Arabidopsis thaliana: one gene and its partners. The protein of the gene in region 1 interacts with the protein of each later gene in a pairwise test. Each region holds a gene or a part of one and is shown in the gene's direction. Other genes may lie near its edges.

The links.
Region 2: the proteins of AT1G80890 (region 1) and GRXC1 interact in a protein complementation assay, tested with the Arabidopsis thaliana proteins (one large-scale study listed by BioGRID).
Region 3: the proteins of AT1G80890 (region 1) and AT4G30500 interact in a protein complementation assay, tested with the Arabidopsis thaliana proteins (one large-scale study listed by BioGRID).
Region 4: the proteins of AT1G80890 (region 1) and AT1G10090 interact in a protein complementation assay, tested with the Arabidopsis thaliana proteins (one large-scale study listed by BioGRID).

Annotation. Positions count from the first base shown.
Region 1 is NC_003070.9:30,395,115-30,399,598, forward strand, and holds AT1G80890 (GAG1At protein), read left to right. Parts: upstream 1-2,013; 5' UTR 2,014-2,096; coding exon 2,097-2,247; exon of another isoform or gene 2,248-2,669; coding exon 2,670-2,761; 3' UTR 2,762-3,096; downstream 3,097-4,484. Other genes in the region: AT1G80880 (Tetratricopeptide repeat (TPR)-like superfamily protein), read right to left, coding at 80-1,109, 1,215-1,807; MGT1 (magnesium transporter 1), read right to left, coding at 3,175-3,405, 3,492-3,539, 3,634-4,095, 4,166-4,484.
Region 2 is NC_003076.8:25,283,494-25,288,533, forward strand, and holds GRXC1 (Thioredoxin superfamily protein), read left to right. Parts: upstream 1-2,683; 5' UTR 2,684-2,858; coding exon 2,859-2,962; intron 2,963-3,569; coding exon 3,570-3,658; intron 3,659-3,741; coding exon 3,742-3,840; intron 3,841-3,938; coding exon 3,939-4,024; 3' UTR 4,025-4,201; downstream 4,202-5,040. Other genes in the region: AT5G63020 (Disease resistance protein (CC-NBS-LRR class) family), read right to left, coding at 1-2,509; AT5G63040 (uncharacterized protein), read left to right, coding at 5,011-5,040. UniProt on the Arabidopsis thaliana protein: Has a glutathione-disulfide oxidoreductase activity in the presence of NADPH and glutathione reductase. Reduces low molecular weight disulfides and proteins.
Region 3 is NC_003075.7:14,900,645-14,905,508, forward strand, and holds AT4G30500 (transmembrane protein (DUF788)), read left to right. Parts: upstream 1-2,706; 5' UTR 2,707-2,913; coding exon 2,914-2,997; intron 2,998-3,196; coding exon 3,197-3,390; intron 3,391-3,667; coding exon 3,668-3,752; intron 3,753-3,858; coding exon 3,859-3,924; intron 3,925-4,027; coding exon 4,028-4,120; 3' UTR 4,121-4,364; downstream 4,365-4,864. Other genes in the region: AT4G30490 (AFG1-like ATPase family protein), read right to left, coding at 64-150, 252-321, 398-520, 615-715, 827-906, 990-1,239; ATG18B (autophagy 18 B-like protein), read right to left, coding at 4,655-4,781.
Region 4 is NC_003070.9:3,289,491-3,298,295, reverse strand, and holds AT1G10090 (Early-responsive to dehydration stress protein (ERD4)), read left to right. Parts: upstream 1-2,097; 5' UTR 2,098-2,348; intron 2,349-2,915; 5' UTR 2,916-3,024; coding exon 3,025-3,305; intron 3,306-3,473; coding exon 3,474-3,620; intron 3,621-3,770; coding exon 3,771-3,834; intron 3,835-3,956; coding exon 3,957-4,166; intron 4,167-4,840; coding exon 4,841-5,026; intron 5,027-5,398; coding exon 5,399-5,697; intron 5,698-5,968; coding exon 5,969-6,245; intron 6,246-6,341; coding exon 6,342-6,617; intron 6,618-7,086; coding exon 7,087-7,320; intron 7,321-7,409; coding exon 7,410-7,724; 3' UTR 7,725-7,985; downstream 7,986-8,805. Other genes in the region: AT1G10095 (Protein prenylyltransferase superfamily protein), read left to right, coding at 304-540, 699-818; BCAT-2 (branched-chain amino acid transaminase 2), read right to left, coding at 8,132-8,246, 8,328-8,440, 8,519-8,614, 8,677-8,793. UniProt on the Arabidopsis thaliana protein: Acts as an osmosensitive calcium-permeable cation channel.

The DNA of each region.
Region 1 (4,484 bases):
GGAGACCGTGAGGTTTGAGAATTGAGTCATTATTTCAGTGATCGTTTGATGAGAAACTTCAAGTCTTACCCCTATCTGATTATTTTCTGTCTACTGATCGTTGACCCTTGTAGCCTTCCTGAGAACCAACTTTTTGAAGATTCATCCTCTTGCTTTTTCTGACCCCCTTCACCTTTTGCTCCTCAAGAAGTTTCTGGAGCATAGGATTTCCTACGAACCCCTTTGATTTCATCTCTGAATAGATCTCTCTGGCCTTTTCAAGCCACCCACATGACAAAAGGCCCTGTATTGTAGCCAAGTAAAGAGCAGGATTAGCCACTATCTCAAAACGATCCATTTCTGCCCAGATCTTCAAAGCATTTTCTGGTTGCTTTCCCTTGAACAATTTTCCAAGAATAAGAAGAAAGGTCTCTTCTGTAGGACCTAAATCAGAGATCTTCATTTGGCCTAAAACCTCTAAAGTTTTCTCGAAATTTACAGCCTCAAGGAATGCATGAAATGTATCAACTGTTGGACTAAGGTTCTCACTAATCATGGTTGCCAATACATTCCTGGCTACGTCCAGCTTTCCAGCCTCACAAAGGGGGCGTATCATCGAGTTGTAGGTCACTGAATCTGGCTTTAATCCTTCCTCGTTCAACTTTTTCATAAGCTTCATAGCTTCATCAAAGCAATCCTCACGGGTCAACACATAAACCAAGGAATTGTAAACTTCAATCCCTGGAGCCAATCCCCGTTTCTTCATTTCATCGTATAGCCTGAGAGAATCAAAAAGGTTCCCAACTTTAGAGAAGCAAGAGATCATGTGACTGTAAGAGTCCTTGTTAGGCGTGATACAGTAATTCCCCATCTCTCGCCAAATCCTCTTTGCTTCAGTCACATCAGTCCAAATGTTACACCAACCATTAAGAATTACGTTGAATCCCTCAACATCCACCGGAAAGAGCTTTTTGCTTGCAAGCATGAACTCTTCAGCTTTTTCAATGTGGCCATGTCTACACAATGCACATAGCAATCCTTGAAATGCTTCATCATAAGGAGTGTGTTTAAACTTATCCATAATATCAAATGTCCGAATAGCTTGGCTAGTATCATTAGCAGCAGCATATCTACATCAACACCGTCACCAAGACAACCAATTCAATACCTAGCTAGTAAATCTTTCAATTTAGCACAACAAAAGAGAAACTTTTATCAAGAAGACGAAACCGAACCTGTCCATCATGAGAAACATGGCCTTTCTAGTATCCTTTGAAACATTAAACATATCACGGATCAAACACCAAGCAATGTTGAACTTTTGATGATTACCCAACACCCAGATCATCAAATCACAAGATTTCTGATCATCACAGCCGCGTTTCTCTCCCCATTTGAATGCTAGAAAGGCAAGCCTCCATTCATCTCTTAATTCCCAGATTAAGGAGTAGAAAGAATCATGATTTAGATCAAATGATGAGTCCTCCAGAGAAGCCATGGCATCCGCCTCTGACTCCAGCTCAGAGACCTGTCTGATTAAATCAATCAGACCCTTTTCTAACGGAGCCAATGCTGTTAAGTTGATATCAAATGTTTCGGAGATGGTTTTGGTGGAGAAGCGATTAGAAGAGGCAAAATGTGGGAGATAGCTTAAAACTTGAGAATGCACATGACCTGCTCGATGAAATGCTGAAGAGAAGGAATGATTTTGGGAAACTGAGCTCGAAAACGACGTCGACACTGCACGACGTAGCAGAGATTGATGCTGAACAATCCGCCATTGTGGCGTTCGCGCGAGTTTCCTACCAATGGCAACGATCGCGGCCATAGCGAGTGAGTGAGAAGGCTTAAATTAATACATTTCAAACATGGTCTTAATGGGATGAGGATATGAAGTTAATGGGGTCAAAAACGAATATATAGATAATATGGGGTCTAATATGGTAATAAACAAAGTAACACTAATATGAATGGGCCTAAATAGGGCCCATTTTAGATTTCTTTAAAAGATCCGAGAGAGAGAGGGATCTAATTCCTGATAAACCCTAGAAGAAGAAGAAGAAGAAGAAGAAGAAGAAGAAGAAGAAGAAGAAGAAGCAAAACCTGTGGAGATCGAGATGGGAAATGAGAGCAAGAGCAATTTGGGAGGAGGAGGAATTAGGGCAAAGATGGAGCACTATGTCTACAGTGGGGAGAAGAAGCACGTTTTGGCTGGGATCGGGATTATCTCCATCATCTTCGGAATCCCTTGGTATCTAATGAATCAAGGTTCGTTTTCTCTGGGCGATTTAGATTGAAATATATAAATAGATGTTTCTCTGTAGATTCCGAAATGGAAGAGGATGATGATATCAATAGCTGAAAGATTTAGAATCTAAAGTTTCTAACTTTATATTTCTTGGCAAATGCAATCAAGTGGTCGATCAAATAGAGTTTGATTATATGATAATGATGAGTCACAATGTTTATTCTGTTTGGATCATAATAGACTTGCATGATCACATTTTTTACCAAGTTTGTTTGCTTTTTCCCCTGATGATCACACATCGATTCAATTGCATAATCTCAATGGTTAAATATCTTATTTGCTATATGTGACATTTGGTAATATTCTCCTTGTTTTGTTCATTATATAGGCTAATTGTTTCTCTTATTGGCTTTTGTTGTTTGGTAAATCTGGTTTGTTTCAGGATCAAAGCATCGTTCTCACCAAGATTACTTGGAAAAAGCTGATAAAGCTCGAAAAGCTCGTCTCTCATCATCTTCATCCTCGGATAAGTAGTCATCTCCCCCCACTTGGATGGAGACTCTAGTCAACTACATTTTGTGAATGGATCCATACATCATCGTTTCCATGTCTATAAACTCAGCCATGTCTGTTCTAGAGTGTGGTTCAGTTCAGATATGTATCTTTACACTCTACACTTAGGTTTCTTTATCGAAGATATGTAAATTTGCGATAAGTTAAAGGATTCATCCTTTACGATACTGTTGTGTGAGCTGTGAGTTTCGACTAGGACAATCCATAAAGTGAAAGATCAAGATGAGTCTGGTATGGTTTGCTTAATAATCTTTCAGTAACCCAAAAAAAAAATACACGGGGTTTTATCTTGTAAAGGTCACAGGCGATTAATGTATAGATTTAAGCAACATAAACAGTAAAACAATCGTCTACGTGTCAGGGTAGTTATGTCTTCACAGAGGCATGAGTCTTCTACGTTTGTAGTACCAGAGGAATGCCAAAAATACAACAAGGCCACACACTCCAGTAATGGCTAAAACCCATTTGAAAGCACCAGGCTTTTCAAAGAAGTCTATCTCAAAATTCATCCCAAAGATCCCGGCTACAACCCCGAAGATGGCTACAACGAATGTGGCAGTAGTTAGCAGCAGCTCGAATTGGATCAGCTGATTCCGTACGTTATCCTGCAAATTCCAGAAATTTTCAGCAGATTCTTAAGGTTTTCTAAGCAAATAAGATATCTAAAAAAGATCAAGATTTCAAGGTATACCAATTGAATGTTGATGAAATCTTCGGTATCATCGATGTACTCCTTTAACTGAAGAGTAAAGAGAGTTGCAGGTGATTAAACCGCTTTTAAAAGCTGTTAAAACAAGATGATGAATGATCACAAAGGCGAGGTTTTTAGTTACCGAGGTTAGCTTGTTGAGAGTGCTGTCAATGACAACAAAGTATGCTTCCAGCAACATCTCTAGCTCCTCTATATTCTCGGTTGCGTCTTCTGAGCTCCTAGCACTGTCATGCCGGCTCCTTACAATGCTCAAGCTTTTCTCAAGTCTACGGGACTCAGGAGGAGAAGAAACAGGAGAAACTGGCGCAGACAGAGAAAAACAATCATTTGTTCGATAAACAGGTAAAGATTGATCACCATATAAAGATCCTTCCATTCTCTTCTTCTTCTCTGTTAGATACATTTCTGCCATATCCCCATCATCGTCCATTAGCTGTTCAATCTCATCCCGAACCTTCTGAACTCGTCTCGTCAATGCTACAAGTCTGCTCTTTAGTCTACGAGCACGCTCCAAGTTTAGAGTACTGATCTTTGAGGTAAGCTCATCCAATAATGGGTATGCCTCAATCTCTAACTCTGAAGCCTACAAAGGGAAAATCTATTCTCAATGCTGAGCATACTAAATAACAATAAGTTGTGAATCAATCACTGACCTGGGAATCAAGGAAGGTACAAGCAGCTTCAAGTGCAACTTCAAGAGCCCTGAACTCGAAAGGTAAATAATCAGGGGATGAGTTCTGAAGCACATTGTCTAAACTCCTACTCCTCCTCCTGCTCAATTCGAGACTGTCCTGATTCCAAACCTCAGTAACAGAACTTGCCTTTAGTCTCTGCTGCAGCTCAACAACATAGCGAAGCACATAGTTGTCAAGGGAATTCAAGAGCAAAACCTCATCCGCAGTAATAATACAACGGATCTGCTCTAAGTTAACAACAATAGCCTTCTCTCTACCAAGAATAGTTGACGGATAC
Region 2 (5,040 bases), on another chromosome or scaffold:
AATTGAGTGGAAGTTTTCTCAGCTCTGAGCATCCATTAACCAAAATTTTCTGTAAACAGGGAAATGGCAGGGGACCCCGGTGGATGTGTTTTAGCATCTGAACATTTTCTAGCCGCAACTCTTTTAGTTCTTGGAAGGGAATAAGGTTTTGCTGCTCAGCTTTCTCTTTGTTTATTACTTCTTTCAGGTCACTCGCTGAAATTACTCGTAGAACCGTAAGATTTGGAGCAAAGATCAGCCACGTCAAATCCCGCAATCTTGTGCAGAATTCTAAAGACACTTGCGAGAGGTTTGGGAAGAATGTGGTAGTGGTTGGGATGTGCAGAGGCAAAACCGTCTCATTCCTCTTTACCTTGATCTCCCAAATGTCAGAGTCTGCAAAATGAAGCTCTTGAAGACTGTCCATAGTAGCAACAAATGAGATTACAGATGATTGCGGATTAAGATTCTCGATGCGCAGAGCTCGTGTACAGCTTGCCAACCTCTGGTTGCTAAGGAATTGTTCCAAAATAGAAGCAAGACCAAGAGTTATGGTTAAAGTTTGCAAGTTTTCCAAAAGCTGCAACTCGTTCAAAACACAGGGATCTTCAGGGAAACCGGAAACAAATAATCTCAACACTTTCAAACTTGTTAAACCTGATATGCCACAGATACTCTCTACCATCCTTGTGTACTCCAAATTCAGGTATAAAAGTTTCCTCAACTCTACTAAACCAGCAGGCCAAATCCTTATCCTTGTACGTGATAAGCTCAGATACTGCAATGAGACACATTCTGATATTTCATTTGGCAAATGTCTGAGATCCCTGTTCATTGATAGATCAAGAACAACTAGCATTGGCATCAACCGAAAGAAGCTGCTTGAGATATGCCCCAAGAAGTTCTTTCGGAGGAGCAAAGTTATAAGTTGGGGAGATTCAGGAGCATCACGTATACTTTCAATGTTGTTAAACATCAATGACACCCTTCTCGCAACTTTCCACTTCTCGATCTCAGGTATGTTCCTCGACTGTAAGCCCGCTTGCACTATAAAGTTTTCTTTTTGCTTTCCAAAATCAGATGCTATCCACAATGCCATTTCTCGGACCACATCATGCATCTTCACCGTTTCTTGATTCTCCTCCATCAATAAGCATGAACGAACTAGAATACCGATAATTTCATAACCTTGGTTCTCAGCTTTACCTTTGTTTCTATCTATGAATCCCTCACCTATCCAGTAATCTACCAAATCATTTTTCTCAATGTTATGATCTTCTGGAAACAAAGCACAGTACTGGAAGCACAATTTGAGCTGTTCACTTTTTAAATTATCATAGCTGTACTTTAGAATAGGTAGAATCTCATCTTCCATACCTGAAAACTCAGCTGCAGATGAAGTCAAAACGTCGATTGCTGAACGCCATTCTTGCACTGTCCTTTTATATGCCATTGTTTCACCAATGACGTTAAGGGCCAATGGTAGGCCGCGACATTTCTTAGCAACTGTTCTTGCGACTGTGGGAATCTCAGGGTGGCTCCCTAATGTGATCTCTCCTACTTTCTTAGTAAACAAATCCCACGCATCATCCGGGGCTAAACACCGGACTTCCATATCGCTATCAACTCCCATCCGCCCGCAGATTTCTTTCAACCGAGTGGTGAATACTATTTTGCATCCGTTTTCTCTACTCGGAAACGGAACTCCCACCTCTGTTAAATCCACTTTACTCCATATGTCATCCAATAACAAGACAAACCTTTTGTGCTTTAACACATTGTAAATGTTAGATGCTTTTATGTCCTCTGTTTTCTGTTTCCACTTCTCGTTATCAGACCGTAACTTCTCCCATATCTCATCTTGGATCCTCTGGATCTGTAACTCTTTGGAGACCACAATCCAAATCACAATATCAAACTCGCCCCCAACTCTAGAGAATCTATTGTTGATATGACTGAGAAGTGTAGTTTTACCTACTCCACCCATACCATGAAGACCAAGAATCCCAATCTCATCTTCCATTAGACGGTTCCACGCACTCTCAAGCATTGGATCCATAGCAACCATAGGTCTAGTAGGCCTCTCTTCCACTCTTGCTGCATCAACTCTCTCAGCCACCACAGCGAAATCTCCCTGATATCGAAGAACCTCAACTTCCTCTATCATCTTCATTACTCTCTTCCCATAACGGTAGCTTGAGACAAGATTCTTGGAACAAAACCCACAAAGACACAACCTTTGGACTTGAACAGATCTCATTCTGACGAGTTCGTTAACTCGAGGTACTATTGCTTCAACTTTTGAAACCCATCCTTGCACAACAGAAAGTCGTTGTAAACCTCGTCTTTCTTCAGACAAAATCTTTCTCAACAAATCTTCTCGTCTTTGCTCAATCTGCTCAAGAGCTCTCTGCAGAGCTGTCAGATTCTCCTCTAAGCCATGAATGTAATCTCCATTCCTGTTTAAGCAACTACAAACATTCTTCGTCAACTGATCACATGATATTGATACAGAGACACAACCTCCCATCCTGCGTTTACACAAAAGAAGAAGTAAACTTGTGGCAGAGAACTAGAAGAAGAAAAAGGATAAGAGCTGCTGAGTTGTGAAAATTGACAATAATCCAAACTCTAAAGTCGTCGCTATTGTAAACTTTAAACAATATTCTGAAAAGAGAAATTTCTACGAAAAAAGACTAAAAGAGTATCATTTCAGAAAGATAACTTTTTTTCAACGCAAATAACTCTTTAATAAATATTGACTGAGGTTTGATTGAAAGAGATAAAAACTTCATTTGCCAGCAAGATTGGCACAAAACTCGAGCAGAGGACATCTGTAGGAGTTGTGTCGTGGTCGTCTTTGGTTAAGAGAAGAAGAAATGGGTTCAATGTTCAGTGGAAACCGAATGAGCAAGGAAGAGATGGAGGTGGTGGTGAACAAGGCTAAAGAGATCGTCTCTGCTTATCCCGTTGTTGTCTTCAGGTTTGTTCTCGTTGAAATCTCCCATCTTTTTCATCTGGGTATTACTCTTTTCGTTCGTGATTATGAATTTGTTGAGAAAATTGGATGTTGTTGCCTTGAGGGGTTTTGAATTAGTCAAAAAGTTTGAGTCTTTACCATCAGGGGGTAGAGTCTGCTTCTATTTGACGCAGAGGCACCAATGGATCATTGTCTGCTTGTTTTGTTGTTTCCATCTGTGAAATTAGGTCGTGAATGAAAGATCGAACATCATCTTATATTAGTGATTCTCCATCCAATTCAGAGATTATTTGTGGGTTCCCTAGACGATTAGGGATGTGATCATGTAATATATACTGATAGATCCAGTTCTCAAATTTGATTCTGACTAGTCTAGAAATCTTTGAAGAAGCTAGAGTTTTTGAAGATTGATCCGTGCAAGCTCCTATGACTGATTTGGGGATGCCTTTCGGAGTTTTGAAATGAAGCTTAATTTGTTGTTGCTTAGAGTCTTGAGTTTGATTTTGCTTAGTCTTAAAAGGAACGTATTTCTTTCCACTTTTTGAGATGGTCTAAAGGTTACTTTTCAAATGTAATGTCTTAGCTCTGATCCATATTTTCTCTTTCGCAGCAAGACATACTGTGGTTATTGCCAGAGGGTGAAGCAGTTACTGACGCAGCTAGGAGCAACTTTTAAAGTACTTGAGCTCGATGAAATGAGTATGAAACCAAATCCCTGTCAATACCTGTATATTAATATATCTCAATGAACCTGAATTATCTCGATGCTATGTTTACTTCAGGTGATGGAGGTGAGATCCAATCAGCTTTATCAGAGTGGACTGGACAGACCACAGTTCCAAACGTCTTCATCAAAGGAAACCACATCGGTGGATGCGATAGTAAGTGAAAAACCTACACAAATTCTCTGCACAATAATGGAAATTCGGGTTGCCGGAAAAACTAACTGCGTTTTTCGTGTTGCTTCTATATTTTGCAGGAGTGATGGAGACCAACAAGCAAGGCAAGCTTGTGCCTCTACTTACTGAAGCTGGGGCTATTGCAGATAACTCTTCTCAACTTTGATGAAACTCGAAACTAGTGTGTGAAGAGTGTGTGTTGTGTTTAGATCATGAAAAAAGAGGTATCGTCACATACTCAATAAAGAAAGATCATTCCCGTTGTTTAATACAGAATATCTAAGTGTATACTTTTCATGTTGGTGTTTCGGTTAATGGAATAAAACTTGAGAAATCTGCTCTAGTTTCTTGCTCTAAATTACTGAAGATTACTGGTTGCATCCCAAGTTGACTTTGTAGCAGGCCGGTCAAGTAGGTGGATTAAGGCTTTTGGTTGAACCAAACTTATCTAGTAACCGGCCGTGTAGGTGCCTTAAAGGCTGAAAAACTAATATTAGCCAAATCGATCAACGGAAAGTTACGATTGAAAGAGAAATGAATATTCGAACAGCAGAAGTGCATTTTCACTGATTTGTGTAATCCAAATTCGGATTCGAACAGCACAAGTACATTTTTCACTGATTTGTGTAATCCAAATTCGGAGAACCAATGTCCAATGGCAATGAATAATGTCAATTTGGTTAATCTAGATTTATTATAAAGTATAGTGCAAAATCGTAGTTTAAGAGAACTTGTGGGGTCAATTAGTAAATATTATCTAGAGCCGGTTAAAGAAGAGAAACTGAGGAAACTGAATTTGACCAGAGAGTGTGTTCAAGCGAAGCGTTGTAGAAGAAAAGACAAAGTTTTGGAATAAGCGGAGCAAAACCTAGACAGGCCCGTGTAAGATGGAGATTTGTTTTAAAGATTTATCAAATCAATAACTACTAACCTAAGCAAGTAACGAAGCCGTGGCTCTCACAAATTAGCCCAAATCCTCAAATTTCACCAAAAGTCTTCGAATTTATTCTCCAGTATCAGTTTCTCTGGGAAAAAGTTCTACTTTTGCGGACTCTGAGGAAATCTTTTGTATCTGTACACCATTCATGGGTTAATCCGATTAAACCCGTGTTGCTCCGTTAGGGTTTAAGAGAATTGCCGCCTTCACCGGCCATGGCTGCTAAACTTGTGTCCTCCTCGGCT
Region 3 (4,864 bases), on another chromosome or scaffold:
AAGATGTGTTGATCCAAAGATGATCACTTTCAAGAAAATAAATATATGAAATAGTGTACATACCATGAACTCATCTAGACATAGTAAGATTGCATCATGAGCTATCTCTTGGGCAACAACTTCAAGTGGATCTGATAAACCCTTGTGCTTCTGCAAACATTATGAACCGAAATCAAACAACGTATCTCAAAAGGCTAAAGCTTTTCCTACTAAAATCAATAGAGAAACAATGGAAACTCAATTATCCATACTTGCAAGCGGCTATGAACACTCAACATGAAATCATGGAAATGTATCCTCTGCTTCTTCCAAGTACAAGGCCTAATGAAACAAGAGAATTGTCATGAAACCGCAATGCTCGAAAAAAAAGGATAAGAATTTGATCATACAAACTTACAGTTGATCAAAGAATAAGTCCATCAACATGGTTTTTCCTGTACCTACACCTCCATAAAGGTATAATCCTTTGACGGGTGAGTAAGAAGTCTGTGGCATGAGCCGAGACCAAAACCAACGACTTCTGTATTACACAAAAACACAGTTGTGTGAGACTCAAGTTCTCAATCCTAAACAGAGAAGGAAAGGTGTCAAGGCTAAGAGAACAGAACAATCACCTTGAGGATTTATCAGAAGTATTATACCGATCTAAACGACATGTATCTACTGAATCCACAAGCTCATCATATAGTCTCTGAAGCTCTCTCAATGCACTAATCTACAACATTTCAAACACAACCTTAAGCCGCAAGTAACACGAATCACATTTAATCTTATAGCTCAAAAGCTTCAATGAAGTAAAAAAGAGTGGCTATTATTTTTATCATACTTGGCAGATATCACCAGTCATGAGTTCACCATTACTGATTCTTCTCTCATACTCAACAAGAGGACCTGTTCTATTCACATCTGTCATCATTCAACAAATATCAGCAAACCAATAAACACGAACTCTGAGATTGATAGAATTTCTTTGCAAAGAGAAACAAAACCTGAGACGGTGACCCTAGTAGTAGCAGGATCAGCTGCTTCTACTGCTTCTGCTGATAAGCCTCTAAAGATACTTGACCTTGAATACAAACTTGAATTATCAGTGTTTGTATTCAGCAGAGCTTGATTTTGATTGACACCGATCAAAAGTTTGCGGCTTTTGGAGTAGAAAGTTGAAGAATAACGTTCTTGATTGTTCCTTAGAGCCCATCTAATTCTACTGAGAGATGATAACCTAATGATTGGTCTCATCTACGATCAATGCAAATTCAATTCAGCAGCTGAAACTTTGAGATACGGAAACAGAGCAAGAACAATAACCCAAGAAGAAAAACAGAATCTTTGTATGAGAGAAATCGGATCCGGATAAGAATTAGAGCACAAGAGGAAAAAGTGAATGAGAATATTGAAAAGTTAAGTTTGATGTTTATATGTAATGACGATGATAAATCTGGATAAGAGAGATAGAGAGAGACCCAAGAATAAACGGAGATGTAGTCAAATAAGGAAGATAGAGAAGAAGATCTTTAACTGTTAAACTCTTAAAACAGAGAGATAGAGGCGTGATTAATGAGTTATTTATCAACTAAGACACGTTTTTTATTTTTTTATTTTTATATACTTTCAATTTTTTAACCAAAATTGATTGTGTTGTACTTCTAATTACATTTGTTAATGTTGATTGCATAGTTGTTTTCCAGGTCATTAGAGGATTGTATTTGTCCCTTATTTAAGAGAGTTGACTATTTTTATTCCTATGAAAAAAGTAATTTCTTGATATATCTTTACCCTAATGATGTCTACAAGTCAAATTACAAATTTTATAAACAATTTTTAACATTTGTAATTATAGTATAGAATATTGGAAACGGAAGCTTCTCGATGTTGCGTTTGCGTACAGGATACTGGTGGACCTAGCGAATGTGTCCCATACATAGGCTAAGCATATTCCAAGTGGGAGAGAGATACGTGAATCAGACATGGTCCTTAAAGATGATCCAACGGTCTATAATTTTTCTAGTTTTGTTCTCAATGGGTAAGTTGAACAATGGACCTTAATGATGACATGTTGCATTGCGTATGATTCCACGTGTCCACGTCATTTCTTACACTGCAAACATGTCTTTTTCTGACCAACCCCTAACGCTACTTTTCTTTGATACATCTTTGTTTTTGCTATAATGGTGCTTGTTGACAAAATAATACTATGTTGAATTGACCTAAAACCATACTCAGATTGGGATATCCGAGAACCATTGTGTAAGACGTGATGTTTGATCCAAATATGGGCTACACTCAAATATTGGATATAGGCCCACAAGATATGATATCTTCATTTTTTTTTGTCTATAGAACAACATAAAACAGGGAAAAAAATTTACACTACTTTTGTTCTTGTTCCGTTATAAATATCGTTTTACCGATTGATCATAGAAATGGTATACTTTTTAGTTTTTGGAACAGCGGTAAAAGGTTTTATGTTGATGTCTTCTCCGAGCGCCGGTGATTTTCACACAGACCTTGTTATTGGAAAACTGAAATAATGCAGTTTTCTGTTGATAGGCCTTAAGATGTCAGATTTTATGGGCCTTTTAGGTTGTTCTGGCCCATTTAGATAGAACTGTTTCAGTTTTCCAACAACAACTGATAAGGATAGACGAAAGCCCAAATTAAGAATCTTTGTCCTAAACCCAAGGAAAAGCGTAATTACGACACGCAGCCAAACAAAACATTTCCTGCGTGAAAAAAGTATTTGAGAAAAGAGGACGACAAAAAGGTACAGGTGTCAATATATAATTGGATTAAACAAGCTTAGACACCTAAAAGTTTTCTCTCACACCATTTGTGAAGATCCAAAGCAAAAGAAGAATTACAGAAACTGAAAAAACTATCTTCCTCGTCTCTTTGATCATTCTCTTTTAACTCATGGCGAATCAAGGAGCAAAGAAGAGGAAAGATGAGAACGCTCGACACATGGCTAAGCTCCGTCTCATTATGATCCTTTGCAACGTAACTTCCTCGTTCCTCATTTCTTAAATTCTCAATACATTAATCCGTTGAGCTTAGATTTGTTTAGATACGTTACTTGTATCAATATGGAACTAAAAATCCGTTGAATTTGATCTTTAGGTCTCGAAAGTTTCAATGTTTAGCTGATTTTGTTTCGATGAATTCGAGGATTGATGTTTTTGGCAATATGTGTTTGCAGATTTTGTATGTCCTAGTGAGGGTTATAATTTCGCATTCAAGTCATACCTGGAAAAATTGGATTGGTCTTGTGTTAACATCGTTAGGTTACGGGATTCCATATAAGCTTCTTCATCAAATGGCAAAGCCTAGTGTTAGTGATGCTGGTGAACTTCTTGATGGTGGATTTGACATGAGCACTCCTGGAATGTGTGGGTACGTTCGGAAAGATTTGTCTTTTAAATTGATCAACTAGAAAGTGCCTGCTTTTGTCTCAAGTGTTTCTGTATAGTTGGATTCTGTTTCCATAACCAAAAGCAATAGTAGGAGGACTGTTTCATTATCAGTTGTTTGAAATGAGTGATGTTTTACTAGTTGTGGCTTTCTCCGAGTTTTATCGTTTATCAGTTGCTACATAATCGTCATCTTTATGGTGGATTGGATTTATGGTAGATTCTATAGTATAAGCCTGATGCTCTATTCTTCCTTGCAGATATTTGCATGATGTACTCTACATCACCTGCTTTGTGCAGGTCGGATCTATCATCTCTGGAAAGTTTTGGTACGCGTATTTAGTGGTATGATACCCATCTCAATTTTCTTTATTGCCATATTTTAAGGCAAACAACAGATTTGCTCTGTAGGAATGATGCAACCATTTACTTTTGCTTGTTTTTATTTTAGATCCCTGCATTTGGAGCATACAAAGCTTCTGGTCTTATTAAGGGACTATTGTCACATGGTTCAGAGGTAATCACTTTGTCTTGAATACTCTCAAAGTGCTTTGAACAAGGGGGAAATAAAACATGATCATTTAAAATGGACTGTGTTTTGTCTATATGACTGAACTTAGGGAGGTGTTGAGGATGAGAAGACTCGCAAAAAGAGGGAGAAGATGGAGAGAAAAGCTTCTAGAGGACAAGTCGTTAAGACAAGATCTCGATGAATGTCTTAAACATTCATCTTTAGCAAACACAATTAGCAAATCTTTCTTCAAACATACAAAATGCAAATCAATGGGTAAATACTCTTGACTTTGTAATGTACCTGTCTTTACACTATTTTGACTTAATGGATGTGTTAAGATGAAGTAGACTAATAGTCTTGAGTAGGATACAGTGAATTCTCATAAGATAAAAGACTTTTGCTCTTTGGATTATGATGATGTTATGACTTGTGAGCCATTAGACCGACAAATGATCCTGACTTGAAAATTCTGATTCATAGCTAAAGAGCCTTGACTGTAACTATGGAGTAAGTGGGATATGATGGAAAGAGTTGGGAAACCATTTTGTATTTCATTTCTTCAACACAAATCAAGATTAAGATACAGTAATAGCACGGAAGAGCTAATTATATTTGCGAATAACCAAAGAACATGAGACTATAAACATATTCTTAATGAACCCAAGGTACAAAAATTGTTACATACAAAAAAGTTGCCCAGTACTTTCATATATTTGATATTTGGTTGTATACATCACCCGGTGGTTATGGAGAAGAGATTGAATTCACGTTCCAGTGTCCATAGAGACTCATTCTTGTTATTGATACTTAGCGTATACTCCTGGAAATATCCGTTATAAGTGATCACCGATACCGTTGCTCTGAAAAGAACGTGAAAGGTAAAAGATTATCAAAACTTGTCATGTAACCATGGTTTCAAAATGAAGATATCCTAAAATCTTAC
Region 4 (8,805 bases), about 27 Mb from region 1:
GGCACGGTATGAAGATCTAGCACCGATAGCTGTGTTGTATTGTTGTAAAAGGTACTAAAAGTCTAAAATATTCTACAATGCGCATGACCGGTAGAAGAGTTTGACCAAGTTGAATTTTGTAAACTGCCCTATTAAAGAAACAACCAAGTTGGATTTTGCAAAAAGTACATAATTTCTCTCTTGGTAAGCTATCATGGCGACAGTGGTTTGGACAACAAAGATAGTTAAACAGTTTGTTGTCATGCTAATACAGAGATGATTGAATTAGTGACTTATTTGAGTTGTTATACTTTTTTCTTCCAGGCACTATGGCTTCACCGGCGGTTCCTCTCTCTTAATTGGATAATGTATTTCGCTTGCAATCATTCAGATGCTTCACCTGAAACCGGAGAGAGTATTATTATGAATGAAGAAATTGCCATCTTCATTGATAATGAGATCCGTCTTCTAGATTCTTCTATGACCGTTCCGGATACCAAATTTGAAGATTTTCAAGCTCAAGCATTGCATGCTGCTGTCTACACGCTATGGCTGACAAAGGTAACAGTGGTCTCTTCTTGTCCAAATAAAGTCATCAAAAAAATTGCCACTATTGTCAATCTCACAAGTGCAGAAAAATAGATTGGGAGTTTTCCGTATAGCAGAACGATAGAAATATGGTTGACTTTGATTTCTGATATGCATTCGTTTATAAGCAGAGCATTCCAGTACTGTGGAGAATGCTCGAGGAGAAGCTTGGAACAGAGAAAGTGAAGTGTGTACTGAACACAATTGCTCAAGAGAGACCCTCGCTTCTGCATCATTTGGTGAATGTCTGAAGACCCTCCATAAATTGGTGTCAAACCATGTCTCAGGATCTGTTTGAATTGTTTTTTTTTTTTTTTTTTTTTTTTTTTTTTTCTATTTTCGCCGATATAGCTTAATGAGTTGATTAATGAAGAAGTTGGCCGAGAAATCTCTGTCATCAAGTGTTACACGAGTCTTCGAGTGGTGTAACCAAACCTATTAAAAAAATGAATGAAGGTTATATAAGCTTCCAAAACCAGATATGTCGTATTCCGTAGAGACAAACGAGACCGTCACAGCTATCAAAGGGAACTAAGTATATTGTGTCCTCCTTCGCCTTCTCCCAAGGAGTAGGGATCTTGACCGATGATGAGGAACCCAACACCAGTGTAGTTAGATGTTTTATATCCGGTTTACAATAATCGTCACGCCATATGGAGACCATGAGACAAACGAGACCGTCACAGCTATCAAAGGGAACGCCATATGGAGACCATGAGAACATCTGGATCACCTGATTGCTGACGCTCTGTCAACTGTCTTTGTTGGAAGAATGGAGATTCGATAATTGATTTCCATTGTTTAGACACGGCCTTTGAATCTCAGCAGAGAATCCACAGCAAGTCTCTCTAGGATGCACTCTACCACATCGTGGGGCAGCGATTCCGTCCTCGAGCAGCGTTGTTTTTACTTGTGATTGCAGACTAGTCCTTGTTGATGAATATACAGAGAGGCTTATTTGCTTTATAAGCAAGTAATCTCACAAATAAACTGGAAAGAGGAAACCTATCACTCTTTTACCTATTTCTTATGAGCTTTGAATAAAGATACTGACCGTTGGGAATATCAAACCGATAATTATGTAAAGATGCTAAACCAGTTATATGCATACCGCATCATAAAGCATGTATCATAATTCATAGTCACACCTAATAAAGAGAATCGAGTTATTATATAGTCATACATAATAAAGAGAATGAATAGTCAAATGGGCATAATTTAATATGACCGGTCCTTGTTATGGGGTAGGTCTCACACTCTCACCACGCGGATAATAGATATGCGACCTTTTTTAATTTTCCCGGGCAAAAACTGTTGTTAACTGTCAATGTTAATTCCACGTGTCACAATCGTATCGCTTTACAAAAATCTAACGGTCATAATTTCGCCGACAAGGTAGTCACTATCACAGGCTAAAAAGACCTTTGCCGACGAGATATTAGTTTGGGCCATTCACGTTATGCCACGTCACATGATCTGGCGATTCCACATTTACACCAACGTGGAGAATTTTGCCCAATGATTTTTTTCAGTTATCTTTCCGTCTAGAGAAATATCCTCACCAAAATAATAACATGTAATGTGTATACAGTATACCTAATCAATCATTATCTTTCTTTAATTTTGTTGGATTTTTTGCATATTGCAAAGTTTAGAACGCGAGCGAATTCTCCGCGGAATTGGGGTTAAAAGGAAGAACTTTTAGGGTTTTTGATTCTTCGGGTTTTCTCGTGCTTTGATTCCTTTCAAGTCAAAGCAAAGCATTACCTTTTCTCGTCCATGTAAGTCAGAATTGTTCAAATTATTGTTTTGTCTTTTCTTTTGTGGGTAAATTTTTTGTTCGAATTATCTACGATCTCGTTGTTTGTTGATTCTCCTCAATCTCCTCTTCGATTTTGATCGAATTTCATAATCTGGGCTTTGGTTTCGCTCGCTTTCTTGTTTCCATTGTCGTAGTGAGTTCTCTTCGCGAATCAAATCCTTTGATTCCTCTGTTTTTGGTGTTCTGGTTTTCTTAGGTTCTATGGAATCGTGGGTCGTTTTAGTTCAATCATAAATGACGATTGAGTTACATTATCTTATCATCAGCCACAACTTTTAAGAGTTGATTATATTTTGATCCCGTATCTTTGGTTGTTCCGAACATGGAAAGTTTTAGGTTTTTAGTTTTTTCATCCCTTGTCTAAGTAATCGCTGTTTTACAACTGATCAAGTGGCAAGTACGTTACTTATGCAACTTTTGAGATCAGTCCTTACTTGTTAGAGTAACCACAATTCATGTTTCAATGTTACCACATGCTTCATGGCCATATCTCTTATCCTAGATTATTTCTTGCTTTTCCTTACAGATCTTTTGACGACCTAAGTTTCTGCTGTGAATTGTTAAACAGCCATCAGCCTGGGCTTGATTAGCCAACCCTGTTAAGGCAGGGTTTGAACTAAAAGTGAGATAGTGAGATGGATGTCTCAGCACTTTTAACGTCTGCTGGGATTAATATAGCGATATGCGTAGTGCTTGTATCGCTTTATTCCATTCTACGAAAGCAGCCAGCCAATTATTGTGTTTACTTTGGTCGATTGCTTTCTGACGGAAGAGTTAAACGTCATGATCCTCGTTGGTATGAGAGGTTCGCGCCCTCTCCTAGTTGGCTCGTGAAAGCTTGGGAAACCACTGAGGAAGAGATGTTGGCTGCTGCTGGTCTGGATGCTGTGGTTTTCATCAGGATGGTCATTTGCAGGTTAATGATACTTCACCTATAACATGCTTACTGTAATTGAATAGACAAGCATGGTATTTTCTACTGTTTCTATGTTCCAGCACTTGTTTTATTTCTATGTGGTATTTGTGTGTTTCGTTCTTAACAACTCTCACAGTTGGGTTATCGTGTTTTTTTTAAACTCTGCAGCATTCGTATTTTCTCAATCGTCGCAGTCGTTTGCCTTGCCTTTGTGTTACCTGTTAACTATTATGGACAAAAGATGGAGCACAAGGAAGTCCATTTGGAGTCATTGGGAGTATTCACAATTGAGAACCTTAATCCACGCTCACGATGGTAAAGTGGCGGCATATAATATTAATATTATCAGATAATATGCATAGCCTGTTTTTCTATCTGATTATGTTTCTCTGTGCAGGAGAAGATAGATTGCCAGTATTTTGTACAATGAAGTGCTGATCCTTGTTTTACTATTTTTATTTCCAGGCTCTGGGTTCATTGTCTCTCATTGTACATCATATCCTCTGCAGCATGTGCTCTTCTTTACTTTGTGAGGATCTTATACCTTGGTTCATTTCACGCTTACTGTTTCTCTTTATTCCATCACTTCCTCATCGTTTTGGTCTCTCGTCTCTCTCTCTCACCCTGTTTATACGTGTTTCACCACTGTAGGAGTATAAGAACATAGCCAAAAAGAGGCTTGCCCATATTAGTGGATCTGCCTCAAAGCCAAGTCATTTTACTGTTCTTATTCGTGCTATTCCTCAGTCTCCTGACCAGTCCTACAGCGAGACAGTGAGCAAATACTTTACAAATTACTATGCACCAAGCTATGTGTCGCACCTAATGGTCTACCGTGATGGCTTCATTCACAGACTGATGGTATGTGTTTTTATTTATTTTTGCAACATGCTGACTTGATTATCAGTCACTTGTCTTTTTGTTATGATTTTGTCGGATTAGGAATAAATTTTTCAGCTAACACCACTGCCGCTCTGCTTGGTTGACCTTAGCAGAATAGGAATCTCCTAGAATAGAAAAAGGAAGCTGTGATAGCTCTATGTTCCGGAATGTGATTTAACACTTTTCACACTTTACATGTTTCTTCTTTCTTTATAAAATGTTCACCATAACACTTCCCCTGTGTTCTGTCATAAATGCTTCTTCATTTGCCAAGGGCATCAAAGATTGATGAAATAACAGAACAGTAACTTTGTTGTAAAGATTTGATTGATAGTCATGTATCAGTTAAAGATATAGGAAGTTCTAAGGGGATTATATGATTGATCCACATTCTTGGAGTACTGATTTTGTTTTTGGCTCATTTGTAACGCTTTTATTTGTAGTTCATGTTATCTGATATTGAGGTTCTTTTGATATTACATCAGTTTTTTGCTTTGGTTATCTGATCAGCATTTTGAATGGCAATATCTTTGGTAAACAACTAGTGGATGGTGTGTGCTCATGATAACATATAGTTGAAGTGCAGTGGTCTATTTTGGAGAACAATTGAGTTAATTAGATTCTAATATTAATTGTGTCACTTTCTATTTTAGAATGAGACGGAGAGGATGTGTCAGGCTATAAAACATGTTTCTCCTGATTTAAGTTGTAATCCGAGTTTGAAGTCATGCGTCCTTTGTGGACCTGCAGCCACAAATTCTTTTCAAATCATCTCGAACGAGACAGACAGTGTCAAAGGATTGGAGCTTGGTGAGTTGACTTTGACTACGACAGAGGAAGTAAGGAATTATTTTCACTTTGATAGGTGAACTTTGTGCTGTACATGATATAGGCATAGTGTGGGGTTTTACCTGTTGCATGTCTTCACAGTTTTACAGCTGAAACTGGAGAATTGACTCTTTTGTTCTTTACTGAGATACAAATTGAGCTTTAGAGGTAACACTGAGACTTAGGGGAACCCAAAAAATACTACAATGAGACGTTAATGGACCTTGAATTAGTGATACAAAGAGCTTTTTGTTTAAAACCTTTAAAAGCTAGATCTAAAAGGAATATATCTCCATTCATGACTGCATTTGTAAACATTGCTTAATGAAGTATCAGCGCCTGAAATATGTATGCAAGGCTTACACTTTTCTGCTCATTTGCAGGAACGTCCCGTTGCTTTTGTGTTTTTCAAGAGTCGTTATGATGCTCTTGTTGTTTCAGAAGTTCTTCAAACACCAAATCCTATGTTATGGGTGGCAGACTTGGCTCCAGAGCCTCATGATGTTCACTGGAGAAATCTCAGAATACCTTATCGGCAGCTTTGGATGCGAAGAATAGCAACCCTTGTTGGTGCAATTGCCTTCATGTTTGTGTTTCTTTTTCCTGTTACCTTTGTTCAAGGGCTGACTCAACTACCAACGTTATCCAAGAATTTTCCTTTTCTAAAAGACCTCTTGAACAGGTCAGCATTTCCTTCTTGTACTCAGTAATAGAAGGTTTTGTTCGTATTCTTCTTAAGATGACATAGAGTTGGCACTAAAGAGTAGGTGTAGCTACGTTGCTTTTAGAGAATTTCAAGATGCGTATAGTCGGAGGCTGCTAGGCAGTTGATATATTTATGCTAGATTTTTCTAGATTTAAGCGCAGTAAAAAACTGAGAACAATTAAATTCTGTGTAATTGATTTCTTTTCATTTCCTTTCAATTTAATTATCCCTTTGAAAAACATTGCAGGAGGTTTATGGAGCAGGTCATCACAGGGTATTTACCAAGTGTGATTTTGGTTCTATTCTTTTATACCGTTCCGCCATTGATGATGTACTTTTCAACCTTGGAGGGATGTGTTTCTCGGAGTCAAAGAAAAAAAAGTGCATGTCTCAAAATTTTATACTTCACCATCTGGAATGTGTTCTTCGTCAATATTCTATCAGGCTCTGTTATCAGGCAGTTTACCGTCTTGAATAGTGTGAGGGACGTACCTGCACAACTTGCGAAACTTGTTCCAGCACAGGTAATTTTCAGTGTTCCTTTCACACGTGTGACTATATTCAATTTTGTTATTTTCTATAAGGCTAACGGTATGAAATTATTCATTGACTACATGCAGGCTGGCTTCTTCATGACCTATTGTTTCACGTCTGGTTGGGCCGGTTTGGCATGTGAAATCATGCAACCTGTAGGTCTTATTTGGAATCTGATTGCAAAAGTTATTGTTAAGAACAAGGAGGAGTCATATGAAACACTTAGGTTTCCCTACCATACAGAAATTCCAAGACTACTTTTGTTCGGGCTCCTGGGTTTCACCAATTCAGTCATAGCGCCTCTGATACTGCCGTTTCTGCTGATCTACTTTTTCTTCGCATATCTTATATACAAAAATCAGGTACGTGCATATCTGCTCTGATCTCTTCTACATAGACCTCATTTTGTAGTTGCCAATAAGCACTTCAAGAAATTGTGACATAGACACCTATATCCATGATCAAATGTTTTTGGACTTTTTCACAATTTGATATGAAACCTGATTCAGAAGCATGAAAGAGTATTATTTTATTTTCTTGAAAGATTTGTAACTAAATTCCAAGAACTCTGTACTGAAACATTGTCGTCGAGACCTTGCATTAAGTTACCAGCTGTTCTCATGATCTATCTGAAGCTTTACCTTATAACTTTGAGAACTGCATAAGGTGTTGTCTGATTGTCCCTGCATTCGTTGAGTGCTTGCTTCTGGAAATATGATTAATGTATTTGTGCTAATCGACTAATAGTGGTGCCATAGGTAGACAAGTCTGTGAGTTTGAAGTACAATTATTTGGATCTGACTAAGTTTGTCTTTTTTTTTTTTTTTGCAGATAATCAACGTCTATATTACAAAGTATGAAAGCGGTGGACAATATTGGCCTGTTTTTCACAACACTACAATCTTTTCACTGATCTTGTCGCAAGTTATAGCTCTAGGCTTTTTCGGGTTAAAGCTATCAACGGTTGCTTCAGGTTTCACCATCCCGTTAATCCTTCTCACTCTTCTATTTAGTGAGTATTGCCGGCAAAGGTTTGCGCCCATATTCCAGAAATATCCAGCCGAGGTATATATACATATATATATATATTACTCATCTTTTCATAACCTCGATTTGCATCTCCTGAGAGATATTGATGTATGAGTTTCTTTCAGATTCTTATCGCTATGGACAGAGCAGATGAGATGACAGGAAAGATGGAAGAGATACATAACAACTTGAAAGTTGCATACTCTCAGATACCAACGTGTTCTGAAGAATCCAGCAAAGCTGGTTGCACTTCTCCTTGCTCAGATCAGGAGTTACCAGATTCTGAAGAGTTGAAGCCTGAGAAAGAGAATCTTAAAGCTGATTACATATGGGAGTTCCAGAGAAGTAAATCTGGTCTTGATCTTGAGGTGAAATCCTGTCCCAGTGCTTCCCCAATTCGTAATTCCCCAGGGTTTGCCGAGATCTACAAACGAACATAGATACTTGAGTTACAATGTATACTTTATAACTCTGCAGATGAAAAGGTGTTTTTGCAGTTGAGTTACAATTTTAGTAGTTGAAACCCTTATGGGTGATGAAAGTAAGAAGTGGGGAAAGCCATTGAAACGTATATACAGTTTTGCCTCCTAAAATGAAATGTAAATTTGGAGTTACTGCAGGAGGAAATGAAACTATCCTTGGAAACACTTGTCTACAAGTACAATAGACGATTCTTTTCTTTGTCATAGTTTTGTGAAAGACATTGACTTTACGATATAGAAATGAGCAAAAGAGCTTTCTGTTTCTATCTCATATATATGTTTATAGTGTTCTTCATTGTCGTGTATACACAGCTTAAAATGCAGAGTAATCTCCTTTGTGGCAAAATATTGAAGATTGTTATTCTTCAGTTGATATCTGTGACCCATCCCTTGTTATCTTCAATCAATCCTGTCTGGATACCTACGAGGACTGAACGCAGTTTCTGGCAGACAGATTCATCCCCGGTTTTATACTCTACTCTGAATGTTTCAGAAAGATTACATCAGTCCATTTCTTTGCTTAAGGCTTGAGTAAAACTTGATTCAGGCATTGAGATTTACCTTTTTTCCTGATATGTGATAGTGCCCACGGGAGCAACTACTACAGCAGTTCCGGTGCAAAAAACTTCATCTGCATCCATTACTTCATCCACATGAACTGCCTTCTCTACTACCTGATCATAACTCAGGTGTGAAACTTAGCTGAGTTTAGTTTTTGGGTGTTTAGAGTGATTCAATCTTATCTGTGTTACCTGATAACCTTGATCACTTGCGATCTCCATCACACTTTTCCGCGTAATCCCTTCAAGAATTGTTCCATTAGTTGCAGGAGTTGAGATTGTCCGACCCTGAATCAATGATACAATTAGGATGCAACAAAGAGACATGGAGACACCACAATATATCTTACCTTGACAACAAAGACGTTGCAAGAAGAAGCCTCCTCTAAGTACTTCTTCTTGACAGAGTCGAGATAAAGAACGTCTGAAAACCCCCGACTCTTGGCTCTGCTCAGTGCTTTCAAAACCTACAAACACGT